Macaca fascicularis: one gene and its partners. The main gene of each other region encodes a partner of the protein of the gene in region 6 in a complex. Links are inferred from orthologs where the notes say so. Each region holds a gene or a part of one and is shown on either strand. Other genes may lie near its edges. The genes, in order: SNIP1, CWC15, SNW1, RBM48, PPIL2, CRNKL1 and SF3B5.

What was found.
Region 1: CRNKL1 (region 6) and SNIP1 share a complex: the UniProt entries of both Homo sapiens proteins name them as parts of the minor spliceosome. The link is inferred for Macaca fascicularis from reciprocal best matches to the Homo sapiens genes CRNKL1 and SNIP1.
Region 2: CRNKL1 (region 6) and CWC15 share a complex: the UniProt entries of both Homo sapiens proteins name them as parts of the minor spliceosome. The link is inferred for Macaca fascicularis from reciprocal best matches to the Homo sapiens genes CRNKL1 and CWC15.
Region 3: CRNKL1 (region 6) and SNW1 share a complex: the UniProt entries of both Homo sapiens proteins name them as parts of the minor spliceosome. The link is inferred for Macaca fascicularis from reciprocal best matches to the Homo sapiens genes CRNKL1 and SNW1.
Region 4: CRNKL1 (region 6) and RBM48 share a complex: the UniProt entries of both Homo sapiens proteins name them as parts of the minor spliceosome. The link is inferred for Macaca fascicularis from reciprocal best matches to the Homo sapiens genes CRNKL1 and RBM48.
Region 5: CRNKL1 (region 6) and PPIL2 share a complex: the UniProt entries of both Homo sapiens proteins name them as parts of the minor spliceosome. The link is inferred for Macaca fascicularis from reciprocal best matches to the Homo sapiens genes CRNKL1 and PPIL2.
Region 7: CRNKL1 (region 6) and SF3B5 share a complex: the UniProt entries of both Homo sapiens proteins name them as parts of the minor spliceosome. The link is inferred for Macaca fascicularis from reciprocal best matches to the Homo sapiens genes CRNKL1 and SF3B5.

Annotation. Positions count from the first base shown.
Region 1 is NC_088375.1:197,372,302-197,376,678, reverse strand, and holds the start of SNIP1 (smad nuclear-interacting protein 1), read right to left. Parts: upstream 2,908-4,377; 5' UTR 2,844-2,907; coding exon 2,620-2,843; intron 1,363-2,619; coding exon 1,260-1,362; intron 1-1,259. UniProt on the Homo sapiens protein: Required for pre-mRNA splicing as component of the spliceosome. As a component of the minor spliceosome, involved in the splicing of U12-type introns in pre-mRNAs. Down-regulates NF-kappa-B signaling by competing with RELA for CREBBP/EP300 binding.
Region 2 is NC_088388.1:93,956,471-93,961,072, forward strand, and holds the start of CWC15 (spliceosome-associated protein CWC15 homolog), read right to left. Parts: upstream 3,131-4,602; 5' UTR 2,830-3,130; intron 1,725-2,829; 5' UTR 1,717-1,724; coding exon 1,586-1,716; intron 700-1,585; coding exon 587-699; intron 278-586; coding exon 189-277; intron 1-188. UniProt on the Homo sapiens protein: Involved in pre-mRNA splicing as component of the spliceosome. Component of the PRP19-CDC5L complex that forms an integral part of the spliceosome and is required for activating pre-mRNA splicing.
Region 3 is NC_088381.1:145,710,984-145,714,820, forward strand, and holds part of SNW1 (SNW domain-containing protein 1), read right to left. Parts: intron 701-3,837; coding exon 547-700; intron 1-546. UniProt on the Homo sapiens protein: Involved in pre-mRNA splicing as component of the spliceosome. As a component of the minor spliceosome, involved in the splicing of U12-type introns in pre-mRNAs.
Region 4 is NC_088377.1:128,832,776-128,836,612, reverse strand, and holds part of RBM48 (RNA-binding protein 48), read left to right. Parts: intron 1-810; coding exon 811-956; intron 957-3,122; coding exon 3,123-3,691; intron 3,692-3,837. UniProt on the Homo sapiens protein: As a component of the minor spliceosome, involved in the splicing of U12-type introns in pre-mRNAs.
Region 5 is NC_088384.1:31,438,471-31,441,940, forward strand, and holds part of PPIL2 (RING-type E3 ubiquitin-protein ligase PPIL2), read right to left. Parts: intron 1,656-3,470; coding exon 1,599-1,655; intron 888-1,598; coding exon 815-887; intron 726-814; coding exon 663-725; intron 545-662; coding exon 411-544; intron 88-410; coding exon 1-87. UniProt on the Homo sapiens protein: Has a ubiquitin-protein ligase activity acting as an E3 ubiquitin protein ligase or as an ubiquitin-ubiquitin ligase promoting elongation of ubiquitin chains on substrates.
Region 6 is NC_088384.1:67,252,833-67,257,105, reverse strand, and holds the start of CRNKL1 (crooked neck-like protein 1), read right to left. Parts: upstream 2,921-4,273; 5' UTR 2,807-2,920; coding exon 2,756-2,806; intron 1,115-2,755; coding exon 962-1,114; intron 1-961. UniProt on the Homo sapiens protein: Involved in pre-mRNA splicing process. As a component of the minor spliceosome, involved in the splicing of U12-type introns in pre-mRNAs.
Region 7 is NC_088378.1:48,298,899-48,301,886, reverse strand, and holds SF3B5 (splicing factor 3B subunit 5), read left to right. Parts: upstream 1-1,789; 5' UTR 1,790-1,865; coding exon 1,866-2,126; 3' UTR 2,127-2,475; downstream 2,476-2,988. UniProt on the Homo sapiens protein: Component of the 17S U2 SnRNP complex of the spliceosome, a large ribonucleoprotein complex that removes introns from transcribed pre-mRNAs.

The DNA of each region.
Region 1 (4,377 bases), on a different chromosome or scaffold from region 6:
CAGGGAAACTGGATCATTCATACATTGCTGGTGGGAATATAAAATGGTACAGCCACTGTTACGGACTAAACTGTACTCTCCAAAATTAGCAAGTTAAAGTACCAAACCCAAGTACCTCAGAATGTATTAATAACTGTTTTTGGAGATAAGGTCTTTAAAGAGCTGATTAAGTTAAAAAATGAGGGCAGGGCCCTAATCCAATATGGCTGAGAAAAGACACCAGGACAGAAAAAAGATCATTTAAGGATACAGCAAAGAGGTAGCCATCTGCAAGCCAAGGAAAGAGGATTTTTTTCAGGAGAATCCAAACCTGCTAACACCCTAATTTTTGACTTTTAGCCCCAGAACTACAGGAAAATGAATTTCTGTTGTTTAAGCCACCTACTCTATGGTATTTCATTATGGTGGCCCTAGGAAACTAATACAGCCACTCTGGAAAACAGTCTGGCAATTTCTTAAAAGAATTAAACCTGCAACTACCGTACAATCCAGCAATTGCACTCCAGAGAAATGAACTCTTATGTTCACATAAAAACCTGTACACAAATGTGTATATAGCAGCTTTATGTGTAATAGCCAAAAAATGGAAACAACCCAGATGTTCTTTAATGAGTAAGTGGCTAAATCCATGCCATATGGATACCACTCAGCAATGAAATAGAACAAACTACTGAGAGCTGCAACCTGAATCAATCTCCAAAGGATTCTGCTGAGTGAGAAAAGACAATCCTAAAGGTTACATACTGTATGATTCCACTTACATAACATTCTTGAAATGACAGAATTATAGAAATGAAGAACAGATTAGAAGTTGACAGAAGTTAAGGAAGGATAAAAGTGGGAGATAAGTGTGTGTGGCTACAAAAGGACAACATGAGGTATTCCTTGTGGTGAAGGAAATGTTATCTTGACTATATCGATGTCAATATTCTGATGATGATATTGTACCACAGTTCTATTATGAATAGATGCTACCACTGGGAGAAACCAGGAAGAGTATATCTCCCTGAATTATTTCTGACAACCATATGTGAACCAATAATAATCTCAAAATAAAAAGTTTAATTTAAGCAAACAAGCAGAAAAAAGAAATACACCCAGTTTTCAGAAAAGCCCATTGGAGGTACAGGTAGAGATGTAGGCGAGTGTGCGTGCACACACGCGCACACACACAATACACACACACACAGCCCTCTTTAGCTGTGATAGGAAAAGGCTCTCAATTTGGACCCAACATCAAAACACCCCAATCCACTTACCTGCTTCACTTTGACTGTTGAGTAGTGAGGACTTCGGTTTCTCTTACTCCGAGGAGACTTGCTTCTTCTCCCTGAGGACTTGTTTTTCTTTTTGGGTGGGGACCTATACAGAGCATGGTACACAGGATTTTATCGCAATTTCCCTTCCCCCATAAAAATTAGCTTCCAGTATCAGGCTTACCTACTAACACAAACACTGCTTTTGTGAAGGTATCTGCCAATCACATTAAAGGAGTCACGAGGTTCATTTTCCTAGCTCTAACGTCTCCCTTGCATTCCATACTCACATAGACAACTGTCTACTGAACCTTCTCACTTAGGTAACAAAACTCTTAATTTCCAACCCTTCAAAAACCTTTCCTCTCCTACTCCTTGCCATCTTGCTAACTGGCATCACCATCCGGAAGTCACCCTTGATTCTTTATCCCTCACTACCAACACCCCTAGCATCAGGAACAATCCCTCCATCCTGTGGTTCTACTTCCTCCCTATGCCATCTCATTCCTACCACCCACCTTCTTGACCACTATACTCCACCGACACTGGCTTTTTCCCATTTCAATCATAATTCATTCTACTTCAAGTTCTTTGCAGATGTTGTTTCCTCTGCCTGGATCTTTAAGAGGTTGAATCATTCCTATCACTCAGGTCTGGACTCAAATGGCACCTCTTTAAAGAGGCCTCCTCCCTCTTCTCTCCAATCTCTATCACATTACTGTTATAACCTATCAATAATACTTGTTATTGAAACTTTTTTTTTTTTTTAATCATCTGTCTCAGGGTTAGAGCACGGCCAATTTGGCACTGGTGAAGATCATCTAACTGAATCGCCCTTGCAGCCCCAATACCTAGGGCAGTCTTTCACACTTAAAATAGGCACTCAGTAAAACTATGGTGAATGAATGCATAAATAAATGAGTCTAGCAAGAAGTAACTTTTTTTATTTTTATTTTTCCAGTTTCTGTTAGGTAGCTCGCCTAGACCTCGATGTGAAAACCTTTCTGGCAGGTAACTGGAAAGACAAGGCCCACACTCCATTTGTGGGCGGGATGGGGAAAATCTCATTCCAATTTAACAGATTATCAGTGCTATCTGTTGGGCTACACTCTTCGAAGTGCTGGGGACACAAGAATGAAGGAGTGGGATCCTGCCGGTGTGTCATTAGGCGTTGAACACCGAGCTATAAGGCAAGTGACAGAGCAAGCATAACACAAGCACGACTGGATCACTCTCAACAGTCCCTCAGGATTAAGTCCGGGCTGCTGCGCCCAGCATTCAAAACCTGTTTCGGATGCTAGCCCTGCCCGCCTTTCTGAATGAGCCCAACCCAACGTCCATCCTGGGCTGCTCCCCCACTTACCGGCTAACTCCTCGGGCTCGGTTCCCGCGGTGGCCCGGGCGGCCCGGCTCGCTGGTCGGCGGAGACGGGCTACCGCCGGAGTGGTCCGGACGGCGGTGGGCGGGAGGTGCGACTTCTGGGCTGAGACGCTCCTGCTTCACCACCACCCCCGCCGGCAGCACCATGTCCCCGTCCCGGTGTCTTCGCCGGCTCCCTCGCTCCCGTTCGCTCTTCACCGCCTTCATTCTGTGATTTTGGCTGAGCGAAAGAAAACAGATCCGTTGAGCTCCTCTAGCTGAAGGAAATGACGAGTTTGACTCCTGGACTTCCGCTTCCGGGGTGCCCAACCTCCCAGAAATCCTCGCGGCAGATATTAAACACGTGACTACTCCCTAGTGGGAGTAGCCACAGTGACCGGCTTGGGTGGCGGGAGTTTCAAGTTTCAAAAACAAACTTCTGGCTGGGCGTGGTGACTCTCGCCTGTAGTCCCAGAACTTTGGGAGGCCGAGGCTGGCGGATCACCTGAAGTCAAGAGTTCGAGAACAGCCTGGCCAACATGGCAAAACCTCGTCTCTACTAAAAATACAAAAATTAGCCAGGTGTGGTGGCGCGCGCCTGTAATCCCAGCTACTCGGGAGAATGAGGCAAGATAATCGCTTGAACCCGGGAGGCGCAGGTTGCAGTGAGCGCAGATCGCACCACTGCACTCCAGCCTGGGCGACAGAGCGAGATGTCTCAAAAACAAACAAACAACAATAACAACAAAAAACTGGGAAAAAGCAAACCTCTCAAGACTGTTTGTTGCCACATTACTGGTAATTACAAAACGTGGAAACAATGTAAATACCCAGCAGTAGGGAAGTTAGCCAAATTAATGGGTGTTATGTGGCCATTAGTAAACCATTTACAAACTTTAAAAACCCTGACTTGTTAACGACAAAGCAGGATACAAAATTGTGCGCAAACCATAATTACATTTACATTTGGAAATAGAAGGGAGGAAGACATGGAAATGCAATCAGAGATGATAACCCGTGGGCAAATCATTAGCTTTTCCTCTTCTATTTCCTGAACTTTTTGCAATGCTGTTGGGGCTCAGAAATCGAAACCCCAAAATATGGCGCACTGACATGCCGAACTGAAGAAGCCTCAATGTTCCTTCCCGGTGCCCACCATCTCTCCCAAAGCGCAGGTCTTTATCTGCCTAAGATACAGACTACCAAAAGGAATAATTGTTTCTTTCTTCTCCTCCCAAGAATGTAATCACACCTGACCAGAGACCGTTATGCTGTCAAAAGTAGCTATTTACAGCCGAACACGGAGGCTGCAGCCTGTAATTCCGGCCCTTTGGGAGGCCAAGGCAGGAAAAACGCTTGAAGCCAGGAGTTCCAGACCAACCTGCCCAACATAGCAAGACTCTGTCTCTACAAAAATTAAATTTTGCAGGGGCTGGTGGCTCGTGCCTGTGGTCCCAGCAGAGATAGGAGGATCACTTGAGCCCAGGAGTTGGAGGCTGCAGTGAGCCGTGATGGCACCACTGCACTCCAGCCAGGGCTACAGAGTGAGACCCTGTCTTCAAAAAAACCAAACCAAAACAAAAAAACAACAAAAAACTATTTACAAATGTATCTCTGTTCCCTTATTAATTCATTCTGCCTAGTAATCCCTGAACAGAATTCCTCCTTCTCCCACCCTCATAAGTCTGTTTTACCAGGAGGATATATAAGCTTCTGAACCCCTTTCAGGGTGGGTAATCACGCTGTGATTCTCCCCGTGTAT
Region 2 (4,602 bases), on a different chromosome or scaffold from region 6:
CTTAAAAGTCCCACAAAATAATACTTTTTGTTTTAAAATCAACTATAAAGTTTAGCACTGAGGTCAGGGTTATATTTGAATAACAGCAAGCAAATATATGTCACTTCTTAAAGCCAAAGGCATAACAAGTATTTCAGAAAAACATGGTAAATCAATTATTAGAGATGAAAGGAGAAAACAAAACATACATCTGTTAGAGGGTCATCTGCATCAAGGTTGGCAGCAGGAATCTGGTCTAACCGTGGCTTTTTTGACACTGAAGAGGAGGTTGTATGTTCTGAGGGGAAACAAAAATCACTTAACTTAGTAAAACAAATACTGCATCTCTTAAAATGTTTTAGGGACCTGTGGGCACGAGGAGCCCACACTGAAAGCATTATCCACAGTGAAATCACATCCACAGTGCCTGGGCAAATAAGCCTTTGGTAAATATTTGTTATTGTTATCTCTAATGACTTAAGAAAGTATTACAGCTCACATCAATCTGTAAAAGCAAACAAATGGTTAATATTTTCCAGTTGCTACATAAAAGAAAAACTATCAACAACATAATTTTAGAGATAAATGTCTTGGATAGTGTTGGTACCTCGGGTTGGACGATCTCTGTTTTTCTCTCTTGCAGCAGCTCTCTCTCTTTCTTCCAACTCTCTCCTGAAGTCACGGTTACGAACCTCTTCAGGGGCATCCTGAGTAGTTTGTCTAAAGTAGAAACAAACCAGGGCAAAAATGTTACTTAAACACACACACACATACACACACACACGACTGTGGTAATGGAAGACAATTCAGGAATGAGACTTTGTCCTTCAAGCATAAAAAAGGGAAGTAGATAAGATCATAATCTAATCTGAAAGTTACTAACAGCCACTCTTGTGATGTTCCCAATATTTCAAGAAGTCCAAATTCAATCACGTATTTTCCTATAATAAGGCTTTACGTGATTAAAATGTCTTTAATTTTTATTGGTATTATCAACTCAGAACTTAACAGTAATACTTTTAATATATTGACTGGTGCTGATAGTGCATAATCTCTCTGAGGCATTATTATTTCTGTTATTTATTGTTGTATCTACATACGAAAATTTCTGGTTAGTAGGAATTTTGCATTTTAAAACCACAGGGCAGAATTTTAGTGTTAAACATCCTATTGCATTCTAATCCTATGATAATAGATAAGTGACATAACTCGAACATACTACTATATCATGACCATGCCATTTAACAGATTTGGTCTTGTTTTGTGAACAAGAAAAAAAAGAGGCTGGGCGCGGTGGCTCAAGCCTGTAATCCCAGCACTTTGGGAGGCCGAGATGGGCAGATCACAAGGTCAGGAGATCGAGACCATCCTGGCTAACACGGTGAAACCCCGTCTCTACTAAAAAATACAAAAACCTAGCCGGGGGAGGTGGCGGGCGTCTGTAGTCCCAGCTACTCGGGAGGCTGAGGCAGGAGAATGGCGTGAACCCGGGAGGTGGAGCTTGCAGTGGGCTGAGATCCGGCCACTGCACTCCAGTCTGGGCGACAAAGCGAGACTCTGTCTCAACAAAAAAAAAAAAGAAAGAAAAAAAAGAAAGTCTTACTACCTGTATTTTATCTTTGTGTGAGAGGGTAGGTCTCTGCTTGAATACTGCTTTGAAAGTTGGCTCAAATCACCTTCTCCTTTTCCCCTTCCACCTCTTGCAGGTTCAAAGGTTGGCCTGGCTGCTGTTGTCATCTTTTATGCTTTGAAGAAAAATATAATCAAGTTATTTACAACAATACAAACACTCATTTTACAGAGTATTAATATCCATACTAGTGAAATAAATTCTAAAACTCATTCCCCTAAACCTGCTTAATCTTCTTAAACAAAAGTTTTCAGGAAAACAAATTATGAGGCTTAGGCCGTACAACGAATAGGGCTTCTCCGGCTTGTCTTAGTACAAAAAATTCTGTCATGAAGATCTGAGTTTGCATCCCTATTCTCCTTCTGACTATATGGGCTTGAGCAAGTCACCTGGCTTAACTTTCTGTCATCCGTGGAATGGAGATATTCCTCATAGGATTACTATAAGAATTATGACACTTGACATGTCAAAAGCCTTGAAAAATACAGTACTACCATGACTAAGTTTTAAAAATTTCCAACTCAACCTTACTCTACCAGACTCTCTAAGGTTTGCATTTTATCTAAACTTCACACAATAGCAAATAGGCTAGTAGAAACAAAAGCTAAAAACAAACAAAAAATATCACTGACAAAGTTACTAAGTGTCTGAGAAAAAAGTTACTAAGGAAAGTGTGTTAAACTTCAATGACAGGTACATAGAAAAAAATTCTTAACCTTTTGTTGAGCCAATTTTCTCCTACAACAGGCATCATATTATAAATCAGATCGTTTGTGGGTTATAACTTAAGGACTGTTCAAAAAAAACAAAAACAAAAACAAAACAGGAACCTCAGCCCCAGAGGATTCTGATGACAAAAATCAGGGACCCATTCCTTAAGTTACTTTCTGCTTGGAGCAGTCACAAGAATACTGCCTAGCAGATGCAGTCATTAAAACCCTGTTAGTGTCGGAAAAGCAAGTGTGTGGGGAGGGTGGGCGAACTGGGAGGATTTTTTTTTGTGGGGGGGAGTGCTTTCTCCTAATTTTCAAAAAGAGTAAGAGACATGTATACAAAGAAGAAACGGGGTTATCTGGAGCTGGGAGTCCGCCCCTTCCCACACACTAACGGAATTATTACTCCGGCCTCTCGTGAGCTAGTCTTTGGCTATAACCAGAAACTCGTTGCCCCTTAACCCGTGCCCAGCGCCGCAGGGGTGCGAGGGGTAGTGAAAGGAGGACCTGGGGTTCGCTTTACGCGGTAGGCGCGCTGCCTTTTATGCTGCGATCTCCTCTGCGGGCCCGAGAGCTCCGGACGCGCCTGACAGGCACTCCGTTTCGCCCCTAGCCCGCTGCTCTAGGTCCTCCACCGCCCGCACTCTGCACTCTGCCGCCGACTCCGACCCCAACTGCCCTTTCCCGTCCCACCGGGATGAGGAAGATAACCTATCCTCCTGCCGCTCACACTGGCCGAGGTCCGATGCAGCAATCTCCGAAGATCATACAGACGCCATTACGACTCCGAGCTCCCAGAAACCTCTGCGCCCAGGGCTAGCGCCTACGACCCGGAAGCAAAATCCAAGCGCTTCGGAGGCGGAAGCAACGACCAATCCGCAGTGGCCGAAGTGGAAGTCGGCGTAACGGCACTAGGGGGCGGGGCCGAAACGGCCCAGGGGGCGGGCGTTTGAAATCAGTGCCTTAGAGTAGACCCTAAACATCATTTTATACCTTCAAGAACCAATTACTTAATGTCTCTTCCGTCTTTTCCGTCCCCGACCCCCTCCCAGACTCCTTCATTCCGGTACTGCGTGGACGGAAAGCCCCGGGTAGCCGACACCACGTCCCCGGCTAGCGGGAGAGAGCGTGGAAAAGGATTACACCAAACTGTTTAAATCCAACGACTCCTGCTTCCATCCTTTCTCCTGAGCTAGAACCAACAAACCTAGAGAGTTGGGCTTCGGAAAAACTAGTGTTTTCATTTAATTGGATATGAAGAAAGAACAAATATGTACGGGGCAACCACGATCTTTACAAAGGTACATTCCTGCAAAAATATTAACACTTCAAAGCAAAGGTTGTATTCGTAATGTTTGCTAAAATTTTTTATTTAAAAAACGTTAGTTTTAGTGGGAGGGGAGATGTCAATATTTACGACAGCGTTTAGAACGGTGGGCCCAACTGCCAGGAGCACAAGATGTAATTACTAAGATGGCTACTTAAGTGTTAAGTTTTAATAAGAACGAAAAGGAGAAAACCCAAAAACCAAAAACCCACCAATCCTGTCTCCTCCCTTCCATAAAAAAAAATCCTGAGAACAGAGATCTTGATTGTTTAGCTAATCTTAGTATCTCATCACATAGACCTTGACATATAGTAGCTGCTCAATTAATATTTGTTAAACAAATGAAAATTCAACTTCCCCAACTTAGTTTAAAATATAAAGAACTCACAAAGTTGAATATTTAAATGCTTTCTTACCTCTAAATTCTTTGCAACTTTTAAATGAAGAAAGAAAAGCAGAAAAAGCCCTTTCACTCATAGAGTTCAAGATGAAAATCTTGATTTTTCTTACTAAAGGTATCCCTCCTCCAGTCTTACACGTCTCACTAAAGGACACGATCATCATACTAGTTACTCAAACCAAAATCCCAGAGTGCCTACTTAAATTCCTTTTCTTTCACTTTTCACATACGGTTCATTTACAGGTCTTACCAATTCTACTTTTAAAACTTACCCGAAATTTTATTCTACTGCCATTACCCTTGTCCTGGCCAACACCATCTCCTACCTGGATTGTAATTGTTTCCTATTGTATCTTCCTGCGTCATCTTTTATCCTACAGTCAATGCTGCATATAGCCAAGAGAGTGATCTTTTAAAATTAATCAAATGGTGTTACTATCCTGTGTAAAATTTCACTGCACTTAGGATAAAAATCACATTTCTTAATGTGACCTGAGACGCCACGGCGTCTGGCTCCTGCCTAACTTCCAGACTTCACTTCCAATCAGTCACT
Region 3 (3,837 bases), on a different chromosome or scaffold from region 6:
TCAACCAAATTTTGTCTCTTATACCCACAAAAACATATTTAACCTATATATCATATATATATTAACATTCTCAAATTAAAGGTAAGAAAACAAGTGAAGAGAAAGAAATTAGCAAAGGAAGTGCTACTGGAGTTTTCCCTGAAAGAAAGTTCTCTCTTCAGGGTTATGTGGTATTACTGGAGGGGAGGAGGAGGAGCCCAAACATGAAATCCACTTTCATCTCTCTTATCTTTTTACCTTCCCATTATTTTCCATATGCTATAATTCCTGGATTTACAAAATGTTAGTTTTCTGGTAAATATTTAATAGTTTGATATAGGAATAGACAAATGGTACAATTCTCTAGTGACCACAAAGCAGTGACAGATAATAAGCAAAAAGAAAATGATACATCTTCTGAGCAAAATATACATCTTGAGAGCGCATAACCAGAATTTCTATCACACTGACATTCATAATCAGAGGTCCTAACATTTAAATTTATGTTATAGTGTGCTATAAATTTCAGCACAACTTAATAAATTTAAACTTAAGATCCATATGTACCTCTAATAACCGAGGTATCCAGCCTTTCCGGTATCCGTACGGGGGAGGCTCTCTTCGGGAGGAGACCAGTGAGGTCTGCCGCGATCTTTGGGATCTTGCCTTTTCTTCAGCCTCAAGCTGGTCCTGAGATAGCTGAGTAGGTGCGGGTAAAAAGCTATAAGCAAAGATAATAAAAGTCAGAAATTTAAAAAACGCTTATGTTTAATTTGACCACTGCAACTTGGCCACAGAGACAAATTTTCCTACAATGCTTTTACTTTTCAGCGAAACAGCCGATTTTTCAATGATTTATGGTAGTACTCAATATTAGTCATTTTATAACATGTGGAAGACAGAAGTACTCAAAGACATACAGTAAAAACATCTGACTAGGACAATAGCAAATGATATCCAGAATAAAAAATTAACATATATTTCATATAATAGACAAACTCTTAAGCATTTATGCTTCCGTATTTCCCTTTTTTTTTTTTTTTTGAGAAAAAGTCTCACTCTGTTGCCCAGGCTGGAATAAAGTGGTACCATCTCCACTCTGTGCAACCTCTGCCTCCTGGGTTCAAGTGATTCTCCTGCCTCAGCCTCCCAAGTAGCTGGGATTACAGGCATGTGTCACCACACCACGCTAATTTTTGCAATTTTAGTAGAGATGGGATTTCACCATGTTGGCCAGGCTGGTCTTGAACTTGACCTCAAGTAATCCGCTGACTTCGGCCTCTCAAAGTGCTGGAATTACAGGCGTGAGCCACCACATTTGGCCACGCTTCCATATTTGTCTTTTTTTTTTCTTTTTGAGACACAGTCTCTCTGTGTCACCCAGGCTGGAGTGCAGTGGCACCATCTCGGCTCACTGCAGCCCCCACCTCCTGGGTTCAAGTAATTTTCCTGCCTCACTCTCCCAAGTAGCTGGGATTACAGATGTGCGGCATCACACCCAGCTAATTTTTGTATTTTCAGTAGAGACAGGGTTTCACCATGTTGGCCAGGTTGGTCTCGAACTCCTGACCACAGATGACCTGCCTGCCTCGGCCTCCCAAAGTGCTAGGATTACAGGTGTGAGCCACCACACTCAGCCTGTTTCCATATTTCTTATAACAAGCAAGTAAACATTCCTAAAAATCCAGGGATAAACTGTCCAGTATATACTTGCTATTCTTATACTCCTTTTATTTTTTTTGAGACAGAGTCTCGTGCTGTTGCCCAGCCTCGAGTGCAGTGGAGCAAACTCGGCTCACTGAAACCTCTGTCTCCTGGATTCATGTGATTCTCATGCCTCAGTCTCCCAAGGAGCTGGGATTACAGGTGCGTGCCACCACACCCCTAATTTTTGTATTTTTAGTAGAGACAGGTTTTTGTCATGTTGGCCCATGTTGGTCAGGCTGGTCTCAAACTCCTGACCTCAAGTGATCCATCAGCCTCACCCTCCCAAAGTACTAGGATTACTGGCATGAGCCACCATGCCTGGCTACTCCTTATTTTTAACATTTTTACCCTTATGCTCCTTAAACTACTTCAGTGTAAATACAAAAGAACTAGGATTAGAACAAAGAGGTAGCTAAAATAAACACGAGTTGTATATTTAAGTGCCAAGGGAATCTAGAATGAAATTTAAAACTTAGAGGCCAGGCCAGCCATGGTGGCTCACACCTGTAATCCCAGCACTTTGGGAGGCCGAGGTGGGTGGATCACCTGAGGTCAGGAGTTCAAGACCAGCCTGACCAACATGGTGAAACCCTGTCTCTACTAAAAATACAAAATTAGCCGGGCGTGATGGTGCGTGCCTGTAATCCCAGCCACTTGGGAGGCTGAGGTAGGAGAATCACTTGAACCCGGTAGGTGGAGGGTACAGTGAGCCAAGATTGCGTCATTGCACTCTAGCCTGGGCAACAACAGCAAAACTCCTTCTAAAACAAACAAACAACAACAAAAAAAAACCTTAAGAGACCAAAGAATCAAAGCAGAAGCCCTGAAGATGCAGCTTATTCTTTAGTCAAGGTAACCTTTCTACTAAACTGTTCTTAACAACTTTTAAGTATTAAAGTATTATAGTGATACTCTAAAGTACTACAAAAGGATCCTGATGGCTGAATATGGAGAAAACAACCTTAGTTCCTTTGTGATTCTTGGATAGGAAGCATACCTAAGTAGCAGAGCTTATTAATTATTCAAAAATATTTATTATTTGGGTTCAAGCACTATGCTAGGCATGAGACTATAAACGGAGTCTTGCAGAGACAGAGAACAAAAAAAAAAAATCACACAAATCTATAATTACACATGTTAAGTTATGATGTTAAGATACTAAGATGCTATGAGTCTACATGATAGGGATCTAATCCAGTCTGGGGCGGTAAGTGATGGCTAGGCTTAGATTTCAGATCTGACCTATGCCACTTACTAACCTGGATAAGCTACTTACCTCTCTGAATCTGTTTTCTCATCTGTAATAATAGTTCATAAGAGTATCTACTTCATAAGGTTCTTATAAATATTAAATGAGAGAAATCCATGAACCTGTTGGCATAGTATCTAGGCACTTTCAATACAGGTTCCGTATGTTTGATAGTTTTAGGGCTGTACCATGACTCTTCCAGTTTGGGTTAAATGCCCGTCTCTATGCTCCCCTACAACCCTCTATATACCACTACTACAACATTATCTTACTGTACTGCAATCATCTACTCATTTATCTACTCTGTTTTCACAAGACTGTGAGCAGCTCTGCAGGAATCACACCTTATACTTCTTTCATCCCTAATGCTCCAAGACTTTTAACTTCACAGCTGGAGCTCCTTAAATGCTGTAGGAGAAATAAATACACTCTTCCCCGGCACTCACCATCTTCATTTCGCTATAGCCTTCTTATCTTACCTTAAGCCATCTCAGGATCTTTACATTGGCTATTCCTTCTGCCATAAAATCTATCTGTCTGTCTGTCTCAATCGATTACAGTTTTTCCGGCTGGGCGAGGTGGCTCACACCTGTAATCCCAACACTTTGGGAGGTCAAAGCAGGTGGATTACTTGAGGCCAGGAGTTCAAGACCAGCCATGCCAACATAGTGAAGCCCTGTCTCTACTAAAAATACAAAAATTAGCCAGGCATGGTGGCGGATGCCTGTAATCCCAGCTGAGGCAGGAAAATCACTTGAACCTGGGAGGTGGAGTTTGCAGTGAGCTGAGATTGCTCCACTGCACTCCAGCCTGGGTGAGAGTGAGACTCTGCCTCAAAAAACAAAACAAAACAAAACAAAACATAACCAAAAAAACAAAAACGAAAACACAGAACAAATTTT
Region 4 (3,837 bases), on a different chromosome or scaffold from region 6:
CCAATCTGCCAGCTGTCATGGTTAGAGAAATATTTTCTCGAGCTTTTCTGTTTTCCAAAGTACCTAGTCTAGTAGGCTCTGAAGTAAGACATCTGGATTTGAATCCTTGCTCCTCAAACCAGAGTATGAGCATGGCTAAGTTATGTAATGTCCCAGTGCTTCCGTTTCATTACAGGGTTGTTGTTAGGTGTTAATTCAAGTGAAGCACTTACAACATTGCCTGGCATATGGTAAAATCTGAGCAAGTATTTATCATTATCCCTGGATACAGAAGTAGTTATATTTATTGTAGTACCTGGCCAATCATAGATGTTTAGTAAGTATTTATTGACTGAATAACATTCTTCTCATTTTCTCATTGTTATATGTTTAATAGTTCCTCAGTTATTGAACGTTTTATGATTATAGTATTTTTCATCTGATTTTTAAGGCAAGAATCCCATTACAGAAATACATTGTGCTGAAAAAGCTTAATTGGGTATGAAGTAACTCTTCAGGGCCACAGAGAAAAGCTCTATTTTATGACCACAGTTTATATACTTCAGGCCAACCAGCTGGGTCCTTAGTTGTTTAAAGACTAGGAAACAAAGAGGCTCGAAGGGAAGAAAAGGGGAGGCTCTAAGTACATACTCGAACAATGGAATGAATACTGTCCACAAGCAGAGCATCTTAATTCCCAATCCACAGGATATATATACACATAGCAAAAGTTGGACTTTGCTCTTTAGATCCAGATATTGTATACTAGTTAAGCTTTCATCCCAAGTAAATCTAGATTAAAAAACCATGCTATCTTGTATTTCCATTCAGGACAGCCAAGAGAAAAATGGATGAACAGAGTTTCTTTGGTGGATTGCTTCATGTGTGCTATGCGCCAGAATTTGAAACAGTTGAAGAAACTAGAAAAAAACTACAAGTGCGTAAGGCATATGTAGTAAAAACTACTGAAAATAAAGGTATGGAAAGCATATTGCTAAATGCCTCCTGTATGTCAGGTACTCTGCCAGGTGTATCATCATGCAATTCCTAGTCTAGTGGGAGGAGAGGCAAGTAAAGCATCACAGTATTCAGTAACTGTAAGGGTTCTCTACAGCACACTACATAATCTGGGTTGAGAAGGGAGAAATGTTGGTTCATAGAAGACTTCCTACAGTATGTGAGAAGTGGCTGAAATTTGAAGGATAAGTAGACATTAACTAAAAGGGAGAGGAAAAGATGGAAAGGCAAGCCAGGCAGGATGTTTAAGTGTTTAGAGGAATAAATGAGCATCATGCATTTAAGGAAATTTAGTTAATACAGTATAACCAAAGCTCAAAGGTTTCAGTGAGAGATAAGTTTAGAAAAGTGGATAAGAAGTGAATCATGAAGGGCCTTGTGTCCCATGCTAAGGAATTAAGGCTTTGACCAGAATGCAGTGAGAAGCAGTTATGATTTGCAGACTAGTTGTCACTGCTAATCATGGAGAAGTTCTACTTTTGACCAGCAATTGACTAAATGCCCCCATATGCCCCTTCTACCAGATAGTGGTAGAGAGAAATAAAGTGGGAAAACTCTTGGAAAACTTACTCAGAAATCTGGCAAGAGAGCTGTTGAGAATCCCCAGTCATCTGTATCCATTGAAGTCTAACTTGTAAGATAAGTAAATAAATAGCACCAGGAAAACTTAATGTGTTTGTATGACAAAGGACATTATAAAACATTAATGTGGAGAAAGACCTTTGACATTATCTGACCTGTGTCCTAATTTTTCTTGGTGAGGAAACTAAGTCTCAGAAAGTTTGTGACCGGCCTATATTATTAGAGATGAATTAAGGACAAAAATAAGGATTAAAACCCAAGCTTTGGACTCTTTCTCCAGAGCTTACTTTTTAACTGCTTTAATTATCTCAGTGTTGGTGTGACAGCCTAGGGTTATCTTCATTATTTGCTCCCCTTCCTCTTAAGATCTTTTTGCCGTGCTGCTGATCTCAGAATTAAACCTGACTTGCTTGGCCTTGGACACTTCAGTTAAGCTGTCTTTCATCAGCATTTTAGCATCTGTGCGATGCATTTGTATACTTGGTCTTACTTTTCAAAAACTCTTATTATGGAAGTTATTGTTATTATTATTATTATTATTATTATTATTTTGAAATGGAGTCTAGCTCTGTCCCCCAGGCTGGAGGGCAGTGGCGTGATCTCTGCTCACTGCAAGCTCCGCCTCCTAGGTTCACGCCATTCTCCTACCTCAGCCTTCGGAGTAGCTGGGACTACAGGCGCCTGCCACCACGCCCGGCTAATTTCTTGTATATTTAGTAAAGACGGGGTTTTGCCGTGTTAGCCAGGATGGTCTTGATCTTCTGACCTCGTGATCCACCTGCCTCAGCCTCCCAAAGTGCTGGGATTACAGGCGTGAGGCACTGTGCCTGGCCTGGAAATTTCAAAACACAAAGGCAGAAAGACTAAGTTAATACATCTCCCATGTATTAATATTAACATCAACAATCATCAACACATAGCCAATTTCATCTATACCACATCTTCCACACTCCATGTTGTAGACTGCTTTTGGGAGAGTAAACCAGGGAAGAGGCCCTTGCCAGCCCTAGAAGTGGGACAAGCATATTGCTTTCTTTAGTAACTGACAAACACAAGCTAAGGAGCATGATACATCCAGATAGTGGAATACTCTGAAATTGTTAAAAAAAAAAAAAAAAAAAAAAAAACTTTCTGTATAATGGTGGAAAACCTATATAAGATCTACAGTGAAATGGAAAATGCAGAGGTGCAGAGAAATGGATATTACATTTACCTTTTTTAGTGGGGAGAAAAAGAATGGGAGAAAGGTGGCAAAGTAAAACTTACTGAACAGATAAATAAAAAACAATAGTGATTACTTATGGGGATGAAACCAGACCCATGGAGTGCAAGGAAAGGGTGACACTTGATGCTGTATATCTTTTTATCCGTTTTAGGTTTTAAACCATGTGAATATATTCCCTTCTCAAGAAACAGTTTTTTTGGAGTATAATTTGTTAACATTTTTAAGTGATTTTTAAAAATTATATGATTCTCAATGATGAAAACAATAGATTAACCACTTATGTTTCTCTTTCCCTCAACTTTTAAATTGTAATATAAAGACCATAACGTGACAAAGAAGAAATTGGTTACAGAGCATAAAGACAGAGAGGATTTTAGACAAGACTTCCACTCAGAGATGTCTGGCTTTTGTAAAGCTGCTTTGAACACTTCTGCAGGGAACTCAAATCCTTATCTTCCGTATTCCTGTGAATTGCCTTTGTGTTATTTCTCCTCAAAATGTATGTGTTCATCCGGGGGACATGTGGACAGAGCATCAAACTCCTCTAAGGATGGTAGAAATCATCATAAAACAATGGGGCATTATAACCACAATGACTCTTTGCAGAAAACACAGATAAACACTTTTAAGAACTCAGTGGCCTACCCTGGTGTGCAAAAGGCTATTACGTCTTCAGAGGCAGTTGACAGATTTATGCCTAGGACAACACAACTGCAGGAGCGCAAAAGAAGAAGAGAAGATGATCGTAAACTTGGAACTTTTCTTGAAACAAACTCAGGTAGTAATGAGGTTATGATTGGACCTCTGTTACCAGACATGTCTAAAGTGGATATGCACGATGACTCATTGAATACAACTGCGAATTTAATTCGGAATAAACTTAAAGAGGTAAGGTTATTTTTAAAAACTGTTCTAAGAGACGATTTGGTTATAGGACTAAATGGGGAATTATTTGTGGGAACAATAGTATTGTAATTTTTTTCACTTTTTAGTTTTTTGATGTGTTTTTCTATAGTTCTCTGTTGAAATAACTG
Region 5 (3,470 bases), about 36 Mb from region 6:
CTGAAGTCCCCAAAACCCCGACTGGGCTTCTTCTTGGACATGGGGACAGTGGCGCTGGTTGAGGGCTCTTCCTCTGCCGCTCGCTTCCTGGGAAGAGAAGAAGCCGCTGGGAGTCCACGCCCTCCCTCGGCCCCTCCTGACTTGTCTGTATCTCCATACGGCCCTCCCGGTATAGGACCAACCCCTCCCACCTGCTGCTCCCACGTCCCCCTGAATTCGATGGCTTCCACCCACAGAGGCCCCGGCCAGGCCTTCAGAGGTAGTCCCTCGGCTGCAGAGGCCACACAGCACAAGCCCATGCCCAGGTCCAGTGCCCGTGGCTTTCTTGCCCCTCTGGATCTGACCCTCAGACCTCAGTCAGCCCTAGGAAACACCATGGGAAACAGAGAGGCCAACCGCGCGGCACTCACGTGGCTGCTGGGTTGATGTACTTGCCCACGCCCTGGCGGAAGGTCTGGGGGCCCTGGCTCCCTGCCTCGGGCTGGCTGCTCTTCACTTTGGTCTCCGGGGCTGCCTCGAGCTGTGTCTTCCGCTCCTGGGCGATCTGTGGCACAAGAGGGTGGAGGCTGACCAGCAGCACCTCGGGCAGGACAGATGCTAGGCTTGGGGTGGGAAGGTGCGCTGGCCCAGACCCTCCTGGTGGTGGCATCGTGCCCCCTCACCTGGGCATCAGCCTCCTCATAGGGGTCCACGAACACTGTAGTGGCATCGATGCGGATCTCCTCCTAGCAGCAGAGGGGACTCAGTGCACGGCAGGTCCTCCCCCCGCCTGCCTGGCCCCCAGCCGCCACGCCCCACCTCCCTGGGCACAGACCTTAGGGCGGTCAGTTTTGGGGTCACTCTCCACATTCTCCATGGCTGTCAGTACGTCAAAGCCCCCAACAACACTGCAGCAGGGAGACAGAGGCGGGTCTGCATGTGCTCAAGGAGGGCACCCTCAGGGCCGGGCACCAAGGCATGTGGGAAGAGGGGTTGAGAGCCCCGAGGCTGGCCTGGTGGTCCTCGGGCAGCAGCCAGGAAGGCGATGAGAGGGCGTGGCAAGGGCGGGGTCAGCAGACCATGGCCCTGGGCATATCCAGCTGGGTTTTTTTTCTGGTTCTCTTTTGGTTCCCCACCCACAGGAAAAATAGGAGTCACAAATGTGGCTTGTGCTGTCCCCACTGGTTTGGTAACAGAGTTCCACTTGGCCAGAACCACATCACCTGCATCCACCTTGTTTTGTGCTGCTTCCACACAGTTGGGTGGGCGTCAAGAGACCACGCGGCCCACAATGCTGGAAAGACCCCTGGACTAGAGGGTGAAGGGAGCTGGGCGTGGCCAGGCTTGTGAGTGGCGCGCCATCAGGTCTGAGACAGGGCAGCGGCCAGGCCACGCAGGGGTGTTTCCTCCTCTCCTGAGCCCGGTGGGTCTGGAGAGCCAGACTTCCCTGGCACAGGGAGCACCCTCTGTCCCAGCTCTGCATAGCCTCAACCCCCAGCAGTGACAGCCAGCACGGCACATGGCTCAGGTCCACAGAGAAGGCAGCGAGGAGGCCTCAGGTGGGGAAGGACCCCACCTAGCCCACTGACCCCCAGGCTTCACACAGCCGCTTCCCTTACCGTCCAAAGATGGTGTGCTTCTTATCCAGGTAGGCACAGGAGCGAAACGTGATGAAGCTGGGGAGGAGGGTTGGATGGTTAGGGAGAGCATGGCACCTTCTGCATCTGGCCTGCCTGAGAGCACACCAGGAGCTGCCCACCCTCTACAGTCGGCTCTGGGAACCTGCGGCTTCCGTGGACACGTGGGTGCATGGGGCTCCCTGCTGCTGCCCACCAGGGCAGGTCATCAGCTCCCCAAGGCTGCCCAGGGAACCCCGGACCTCCAGCTGTCCCCAGGTCCTCCTGCTGCCCCGGCTGCTGCCCAGTGCCTGTCAGGGAGTCCCTGTGCCCAGAGCCAGCCTGGTCATGCAGGTCTGTGGGAGGTGGCTGGGACAAGGTGACACCTGGAAAACCAGAGCCAGCCCCGTGCCATCAAGGGACCTGTCGAAGGACTGAGGAGAAAGGAGGCAACAAAGCCAGAGCAGAAATCAAGGGATTCAGAAACGTGGGTAACATAAACATGGACAAAGAAAATGCTCAGGTCATCCAGACACAGTGGCTCACGCCTGTAATCCCAGCACTTTGGCAGGCCGAGGCAGGAAGACCGCTTGAGTCCAGGAGTTGAAGAACAGCTGGGGCAATAGCGTGAACCCTGGAGGCAGAGGTTGCAGTGAGTTGAGATGGCACCACTGCACTCCAGCCTGGGTGACAGAGCGAGTCGCCGTCTTAAAAAAAAAAATTTCCGGCCGGGCGCGGTGGCTCAAGCCTGTAATCCCAGCACTTTGGGAGGCCGAGACAGGCGGATCACGAGGTCAGGAGATCGAGACCATCCTGGCTGACACAGTGAAACCCCGTCTCTACTAAAAAATACAAAAAAACTAGCCGGGCGAGGTGGCGGGCGCCTGTAGTCCCAGCTACTCGGGAGGCTGAGGCAGGAGAATGGCGTAAACCCAGGAGGCAGAGCTTGCAGTGAGCCAAGATCACGCCACTGCACTCCAGCCTGGGCGGCAGAGCGAGACTCTGTCTCAAAAAAAAAAAAAAAGCCGGGCATGGTGGCTCAAGCCTGTAATCCCAGCACTTTGGGAGGCCGAGACGGGCGGATCACGAGGTCAGGAGATCGAGACCATCCTGGCTAACACAATGAAACCCCGTCTCCACTAAAAATACAAAAAAATTAGCCGGGCGTGGTGGCGGCGCCTGTAGTCCCAGCTACTCGGGAGGCTGAGGCAGGAGAATGGCGGGAACCCGGGAGGCGGAGCTTGCAGTGAGCCGAGATCGCGCCACTGCACTCCAGCCTGGGCGACAGAGCGAGACTCCGCCTCAAAAAAAAAAAAAAAAAAAAAAAATTTCCAGGAGGAGCTTGCCTCGGGATGGTTCTTTTACTTTCCTCGTATCTGAGTTTAATTCTGCTTCTAGTTTCCTTCACTGTGTTAGAAATCAGCCAGAGAGAACCACTTGCAGGTCAGAGCGCAGGTCTGCCCCATTGTAGACGTGACATCTGTGGACACTTGTCTGGTGGCCTTGGGGGTGGTCAGACTCGGTGGGCTCAGGATCATGTCCCTGCGTGGCTGGGGGGGTGCATGTTCGATGCAGCGGGGGTTAGGTCCTGTCTCTCACCAGCAGGGTATGTGGGCTGTGCCTGCCTGCACCACCCTGGGGTGCTCCGTGCCACCAGTGCTGGGACCCACCCAGTATCTTCCACTGTATTCCTTTCAGCCTCTCTGGCTCTGCCCTCTGAGGGCTTTTTGAAGGCTCACAGCTGGGGTCTGTCGCGTTCTCATTCATCCCAAAAGTCTTTTTTTTTTTTCCCTTTGAGACGGAGTCTCGCTGTCACCCAGGTTGCAGTGCAGTGGCGCGATCTTGGCTCACTGCAACGTCTGCCTCCCGGGTTCA
Region 6 (4,273 bases):
TTGGTCTATTTTAAGTCTTGTACTAAACTGGTTATTCATTTTGTTCATATTTAAGAGAAATTACATCCTGGAATCCTTGAGGAATAAGAAATCCACTACAGAAGGTTACAATCAACTAACTGATACTTTGAAATAGTCTATGCTTGTCCCTAATAAAAAATATTTTGACTATTACCCGTAAGTCCTCTGGTAACGTTCAGAATTTCATATATAACAGAATTCATGCTTTAAAACAGTCCCACATTCTAGAGTGAAGAGGTCAAATCAGATCCCAAAGTCTTCTCATAGTCCTTTTGCAGATCTCAATTCCTTTTCCTTTCTTCTCTTTTTTCTTTGAGACAAAGTCTCGCTCTGTCGCCCAGGTCGGAGTGCAGTGGCATGATCTCGGCTCACTGCAGACTCTGCGTCCTGAGTTCCTACGATTCTCATGTCAGCCTCCTGAATAGCTAGGATTACAGGCACTTGCCACCACGCCCGGCTAATTTTTGTATTTTTAGTAAAGATGAGGTTTCACCATTTTGGTCAGGCTGGTCTCAAACTCCTGACCTCAGGTGATCAGCCCACCTTGGCCTCCCAAAGTGCTGGGATTACAGGCATGAGCCACAGTGCCCGGCCAGATCTCATTTCTTAACACAGAAGGTGGTATAGACAGAAGTACACAGTCCAGCCTTACTAAGCATACCCCCTTCCAGTTGTCCGTTGTTTCACCTGCTAAACTTCCACCCATTTTTGATTCAGTACCAAAAATTATGCAGATTCAATTGTTTTATACTTTAACCAGACAACTCAAGGCATATTTTATATAGTTCAGAAAAATGCTGTTATCTGGTAACCAGAAGGCATTATTCATGTGTCTAGGAACACTAACCTCATCTTGCCCTACAGAATCCAACCAGCTTTTCAAACTCTGACTGATACACTCTTAACAATTAGTGGACTGAAAGATACCACACTGACTGACCTTCCTTTTCCTTAGTTTATAATCATTTAATTCTTCTTCATCTGTGATCTTCTGTTGAGGTGGAGGTGGAAGAAGCTCAAGTTCTCTTTCTTTAGCCTCTCTTAAGAGTTGTTCAGCAGTTATCTGTACCTCAGCCGGGGCTTTGTTTTTCACCTTTTAAGAACAAGACATTTCTATTTTTAGTAGATGCTCTTCACACAAGGTTTAAGAAACAAACATACATTTTTTAGGATATGAACTTCATTAGTATTATCACAAGATGCTCTCTTTGTATGACATGTTCCCATCCTCCATGAGACTAAAAAGAAAAAAAAATACTATGTTTTCTCTCTTATTCATGGTATCTACTACAAAGCCACAGGTAAAAGTCTCAAGAGAAAAAGGTGGCAAAAATAATACCAAGTTTTCCCTTTTAGATGAGTATAATAATAAACTTTGAGGCTGTGTAGGTAAAATTCTGACCAGAGGGTTTATCAAGATGTGTAGCACATCTTATTAATAGCATTACCACCTGCATTCGCAGAATTCTTCAACTTATTTAATGCCCCTGGTGGAAAAGTGGGTATGGTTTTTCACGGAACCTCAAGTCAAAGGCACTATTCAATAAGTTCCCATCATTAGACTGTAAGTTTCTTGAGGTCTTAGAAGTTTACAGTCTAACGTAGCTTAGAGCTGTGCTGTCCAACACAGTAGCTATGAGTCACATGTGGTGAGCACAAATTGAGGTGGACTGTAAATGTAAAATACACACTGGTTTTGAAGATGAAGTATGAAAAAAAGAACAAACTATCTCACAGTTTTTATACCGATTACATGTTGAAATTATAATATTTTGGATACATTAGTTCAAATAAAATATATATTATCAAAATTAATGTCACTTTTTTTGCTTTGCTTTTACTTTTTAATGTAGATAGGAGAAAATTTAAAATTTCATGTGCTGTGCACTGTATTTCCATTGGACCGGTGATGCCCAATAAAAGTGTACGTAGCTGAATTATAAAAATTGTTATTTAATGCCACGTGTGGAGTAATGATAATGGTGATAGCTCATATTTAATAAGCACTAAGTGCCAGACACACTGTTACTTGCTCTACATGCATTACTTTTGCGAGTCAGACAAATAGTTACGTAAAGGTCCAGTTCAAGAGAGTCATCTGGGCTCAAGAAAGACTGGAGGGAGGATATCTGTAAAGGCTTCAGACAAATTCTGACACATATTAAGCACTTCGTAAGTATCAGCTATCGAGGGAAATACCAGTTAGTAAATCTACTGTTTAATTAACTTATGATACTATACTACTACTGCCGTCTATTCTCACCCTCCGCTGTCAGCTGGGCTAACTCCTATTCAGTCTTCAAGTCTCAGCTTAAAGGTCATTTCCTCAGCAAAATTTACTCTCAGGAACCCTTCATACGACCCCCTTATTCACGCCCATGGCATATTCTACTTTGCCTCTCAGTAACATCTGGCAAGATCGTCCTCATACACACACTCGTGTTTTGAGTACTGCTTCTGGCCAGCGTCCGAGCGTAGCTTCCCAGCGCCCAGTGCAGTGCCTGGGTCAGTAAATCTTCACTGAACCACTCCACTCCTCCTCCCTGCAAAACCACCCCATCGTGCTCCGCGATGACAAGAGCCCGCGCCCCACCACCAGCTGACCCTTCCTCTCCATCTCTCAGGGTGGGCCCTCTCCCCGGCGGGAACACTGTCTCCCGCCCGGGGCACCCCCAGGGCTGAGGGATGCCCCTCTCCTGGGCCACCTCCCACAAGGCCCCTCGCGATCGCCTACCTTGGCCACTTTGGGAATCCGCTGTTTCCCGGCCGCGGTGGAGGCCGCCATGTCTGCAGCAGCGGACCTCGGGGCACCTGTCCCCCGCACGAAAGCTAGAAATCCGCGGTCTGAGAGCTCACCGAAACCACAAAGATTTCCGACAACAAACAGGATCCCGGAATCGGAAGCGGAACTCGCCAGGCTGACCTTTGACCTCTCGCATGCGCCGTGACGGACGTGGCACCGTTTCCATGGGGACCAGGCTGCGCGTCCTCCTTACAGCAGCGCGCGGAGTGCGGCGTCCTGGAGCTGCGCGTGAGGTGGGTAGCGCCGGCCTGACTAGCAGCGACGCGAGGACTGCGATTCAGGGCGTCAAGGGCGTATCCCCAGGTCAGCCTCCAGAACTGGGATGACCAGGCAAGGAAGAGAGGCTCTGTCTAGCCGTGGCGCCCTGCAAGGGAGTAGGGTCGAAGCTCCAATCTGGATGCTCGAGGGGCGGGGGAACGAAGGGAGAGCGAGGAAACTACCATTCCCAGTATGCGAAGGGGCGAGCTGCCGCCCTTTTAGGCTGTCTGGCTCTGCATTGCATTCTAGGTCTTGTAGTCTCTGGGTCCACGCCCCCTCGTTTCTGGTTTCTGGACAGTTGTGCCCAAATAATTAACTCTAAGGCTTGGAATTAAAAATAACAGAAGGTACTTAGAAGCCAGATATTAGGACAAAATGAAAGTAAAAAATAGAGTAACTAGAAAACAACTCAGTCTTGTGATAAGAAATATGTTTAAATTCTGTGTGTGCCTTAATTACTCAAATTTTCTTAGCCTCAGTGTCCTCAACTATAAAACAAGGGTAATACCATCTGTTTCACTAGGATTAAAGACAAATGCTCAGTAAATGTAGCTATTATAATACTTAACCTGCCCTCAAAAACGGAAAAATTAAGCAAAAGTTAAAAGAATTTTTTTAATAGACAAATTTTTAGAGAAGTTTTAGGTTCACAACAAAATTAAGTGGAAGGCACAGAGATTTCCCCCCTCAACAGCTTCCTGCCATCAATTATTATACCTCTTCCCCACTTTAACAGCCTCCAACTCTCAAAAATATCCTCCACCAGAGCGGTACATTTGTTACAATCATGAACCTACATTGACACATCATTATCACTCAAAGTTCGTAGTTCATGTTGGGGTTCACTCTTGGTGCTGTACATTCTATGAGTTTGGACAAATGTACAATGACACGACTTGGCAGCACATTTGTTAGAATAATTTTCATAGTTGCAAGGCTCTTTTGGTTTTTGGGGAAAATATATATTGTGTATGTAGTAATATCACGTCTACCAATGCAGCTATTGCTTTCAAAAAAAGATTGATGCAGATTTCTAGAACTGCAGTTATAACCAACATCAGTATTTTTGCCATAACTCTTTATTAACCATATTATTTAGATATTTGATCTCACTTTTCAAAATTTAAATAGAGAAGATTTTATATCACTTTCATAAAGCCACCTAACAAAATAAAATATATTAAAAAGATG
Region 7 (2,988 bases), on a different chromosome or scaffold from region 6:
CACTCACACTGGGAGCTGTAGCCTGGAGCTGTTCCTATTTGGCCATCTTGGAACCTGACCCAACAAAGTTTAAACAGCAGAATAAAATAATTTTCAAGTTATCTCTCTCCTAGTAAAGTTTTCCTTCCCTTCCGTTGTAATAGAGTTATTTAACCATTTATCAAATTTTTGTTTTGGATTTTTTTTTTCAAGTAGCTTCTACCCATGTAAGGAAGTTATTAAACCAAACGGTAGGATATAAAGCAATAACAAGGAAGAGATGTATAACCTGCAAAGAGGAAGGAGAGTTTACATCTGTCTGGAGCAGCCAGAGAAAACTCTAAGGAGATGCATTTGAGCTGCCTTTTTGGGAGATGTATTCACCAAGGGAACAGACATTCCACGTAGAGGGAACAGCTTGTACAAGAAAATGGGTATGGGCACAACAGGTAACACGGAGAAGTACAGTTGTCCCTCAGTATCCGTGAGTGATTTGTTCCATGACTCCCATGGATACCAAAACTAGAGGATGCTCAAGTCCCTGATATAAAATGGCTTGTATTTGCACATATGCACATTCTCCTGTATAGTTTGTCTCCAGATTATTTAACAATACCTAATACAATGTAAATGCTATGTAAATAGTTGTTATACTGTATTGTTTAGGGAATAATAACCTTAAAAAGTCTACACTTCAGTACAGACTGACTTTTTCCCCAAATATTTTCAATCGGGTCGGTTGAATCCACAAAACCCACTGAATGGAAGGGCCAAGTAGGGTGCAGTGAGGCCTTGGAGGAAGGATATCAAAATAAGTGGCTAGAGAGGAAGGAGGAGCTTGAGGTGGAAGCCGGAATGTGTGGGAATTGGTGCTGTACTTGCTCACCAAGCACCCTGGTTAGAGCTGAAATAACTCTTTTATGCCACAGACTCCTAAGAGACATAGCTGGGACCAGAACTTGTGCCTGCCGACTTCTGGGAAATCCATCCCTGGTTGTGAAGGGATGGCTGTGCTACCATGATAGCTTTGGAAAACAGGGAGAGTTTATTTTCGGGGCTGCTTGTAGTCCAGTCCTACTTGGGTTTCCCATTTCCCATCAGCCCCAAGCCACCCACGGATGCTCCCCACCTCCCAGACATCACCCTCCACTAGGTCCCCAGATCACTTTTAAAACGCGACCAGGGGCCTGGCGCAGTGGCTCACGCCTGTAATCCCAGCATTTTGGAAGTCCGAGGAGGGAGGATCACGAAATCAGGAGTTCGAGATCAGCCAGGCAAAGACAGTGAAACCCCATCTCTACTAAAAATACAAAAAAAAAAAAAAAAAAAAAAAAAAAAAAATTGGCCTGGCGTGGTGGTGTGCGCCTGTAATCCCAGCTACTGGAGAGGCTGAGGCAGGAGAATCGCGTGAACCCAGGAGGCGTTAAGTTGCAGTGAATCGAGATCGCGCCATTACACTGCAGTCCCGGTAACAGTGCGAGACTCTGTCTCAAACAACAAAACGAGACCAGGAGTTCCAGAAGCCTACGAGCACGAACTCCCAAGACCACAAGTCCCAGCATGCAAGGCTCCCTGTTGGAAAAGGGCTTCCCATAGCCACCAAGTGGACCATCATGCAAAGCTCTCTGACGGGGCGGGGCTCTCTACAGGGGCGACACACTTGTGGCGTCGCCTCGGCAACTCCAATTCCGTGACAGAATGTGCTTCCGCTTCCGCCTTTGAGCCCTATGAGCGAGACTTACGCTACTTAGTCGTCGTGACGCCATTCTTCTGCGACGGCGCGGGCCGGGAGCTTCCGCACGGTGGCCTCACTCCCGCGTGAAACGCCAGAGCGGCGATTTGTTGTCTGCGTCCTCTGTCCTGGGAACTAAGGGGAAAGCGGCGAGATGACGGACCGCTACACCATCCACAGCCAGCTGGAGCACCTGCAGTCCAAGTACATCGGCACGGGCCACGCCGACACCACCAAGTGGGAGTGGCTGGTGAACCAACACCGCGACTCGTACTGCTCCTACATGGGCCACTTCGACCTTCTCAACTACTTCGCCATTGCAGAGAATGAGAGCAAAGCGCGAGTCCGCTTCAATTTGATGGAGAAGATGCTTCAGCCTTGTGGACCGCCAGCCGACAAGCCCGAGGAGAACTGAGACTCTGCCTTACCACCACTGTGCGGGGCACCTCTCCCAGTGTTCCTCAGGTTGGCCAATCCCTTCGACTATTTCTGCCTCCAAAGGACCGGCTCTCCATGGCTCCTGCGTCTGGTACTTCCGCGTACAGAAGTGCTTGCCCGGGGAATCCCGCCTGACCTGCCTTCATGTGAACCCTTTGGAATAGCACTGGGAGACCAGCAGAACCCCTGAGAACTGTGTTGGTGAAGAGGGCCTAGAGCCGGCAAGCGTTTGAGAAGAGGGCGTGGCGCTGGAATGAGATGGGATTTGGCGTCTCATTTTTGGCTAATTGATTGTCATTGGCTTTTTCCATAAAGTTTAGAAATCATTCACTCTCTTGGTGTGAACTTCCTGTGTTAGGGTGGAGGGCTCCTGAAAGACCCGAGCGGGAAATGGGTCGGGGGAGGGAGTGCATGCCAGTGTCCATGATCAGGTACTTAAATCCACCCTGTCTACCATTATAATTAATTCCCCGACTGCCACTTCTCCCAAGAGCGTTATTTTCAGGCCCACAATGCCTTCAGTATTGAAGTTTGTGGTTATTGTATCCCATTTTCTTTTTCTCCCGTTTTAAAAGTCTTTGCAGTCTTTGCTGTCATTGTCCTCCTTAGCCTCTTTAAAATGCATCCTTTCTTTTTCTTGGGAATTTGTGGCCATGTCTCCAGAAATGACAAGCTGGCAAGTGAGTTCATCCTTTCTATATTCAACAAATATTTGTTGAGCTCTATGTGACAGGCATTTTCCCATGGTCTTGAGGCTTACATTATGCTGGTGGTGGAGAAAGGAGGTCAAACACTGTAGACGTAATAAGTAAATGTTAGAAGATGCTGCGGGGAGGGGA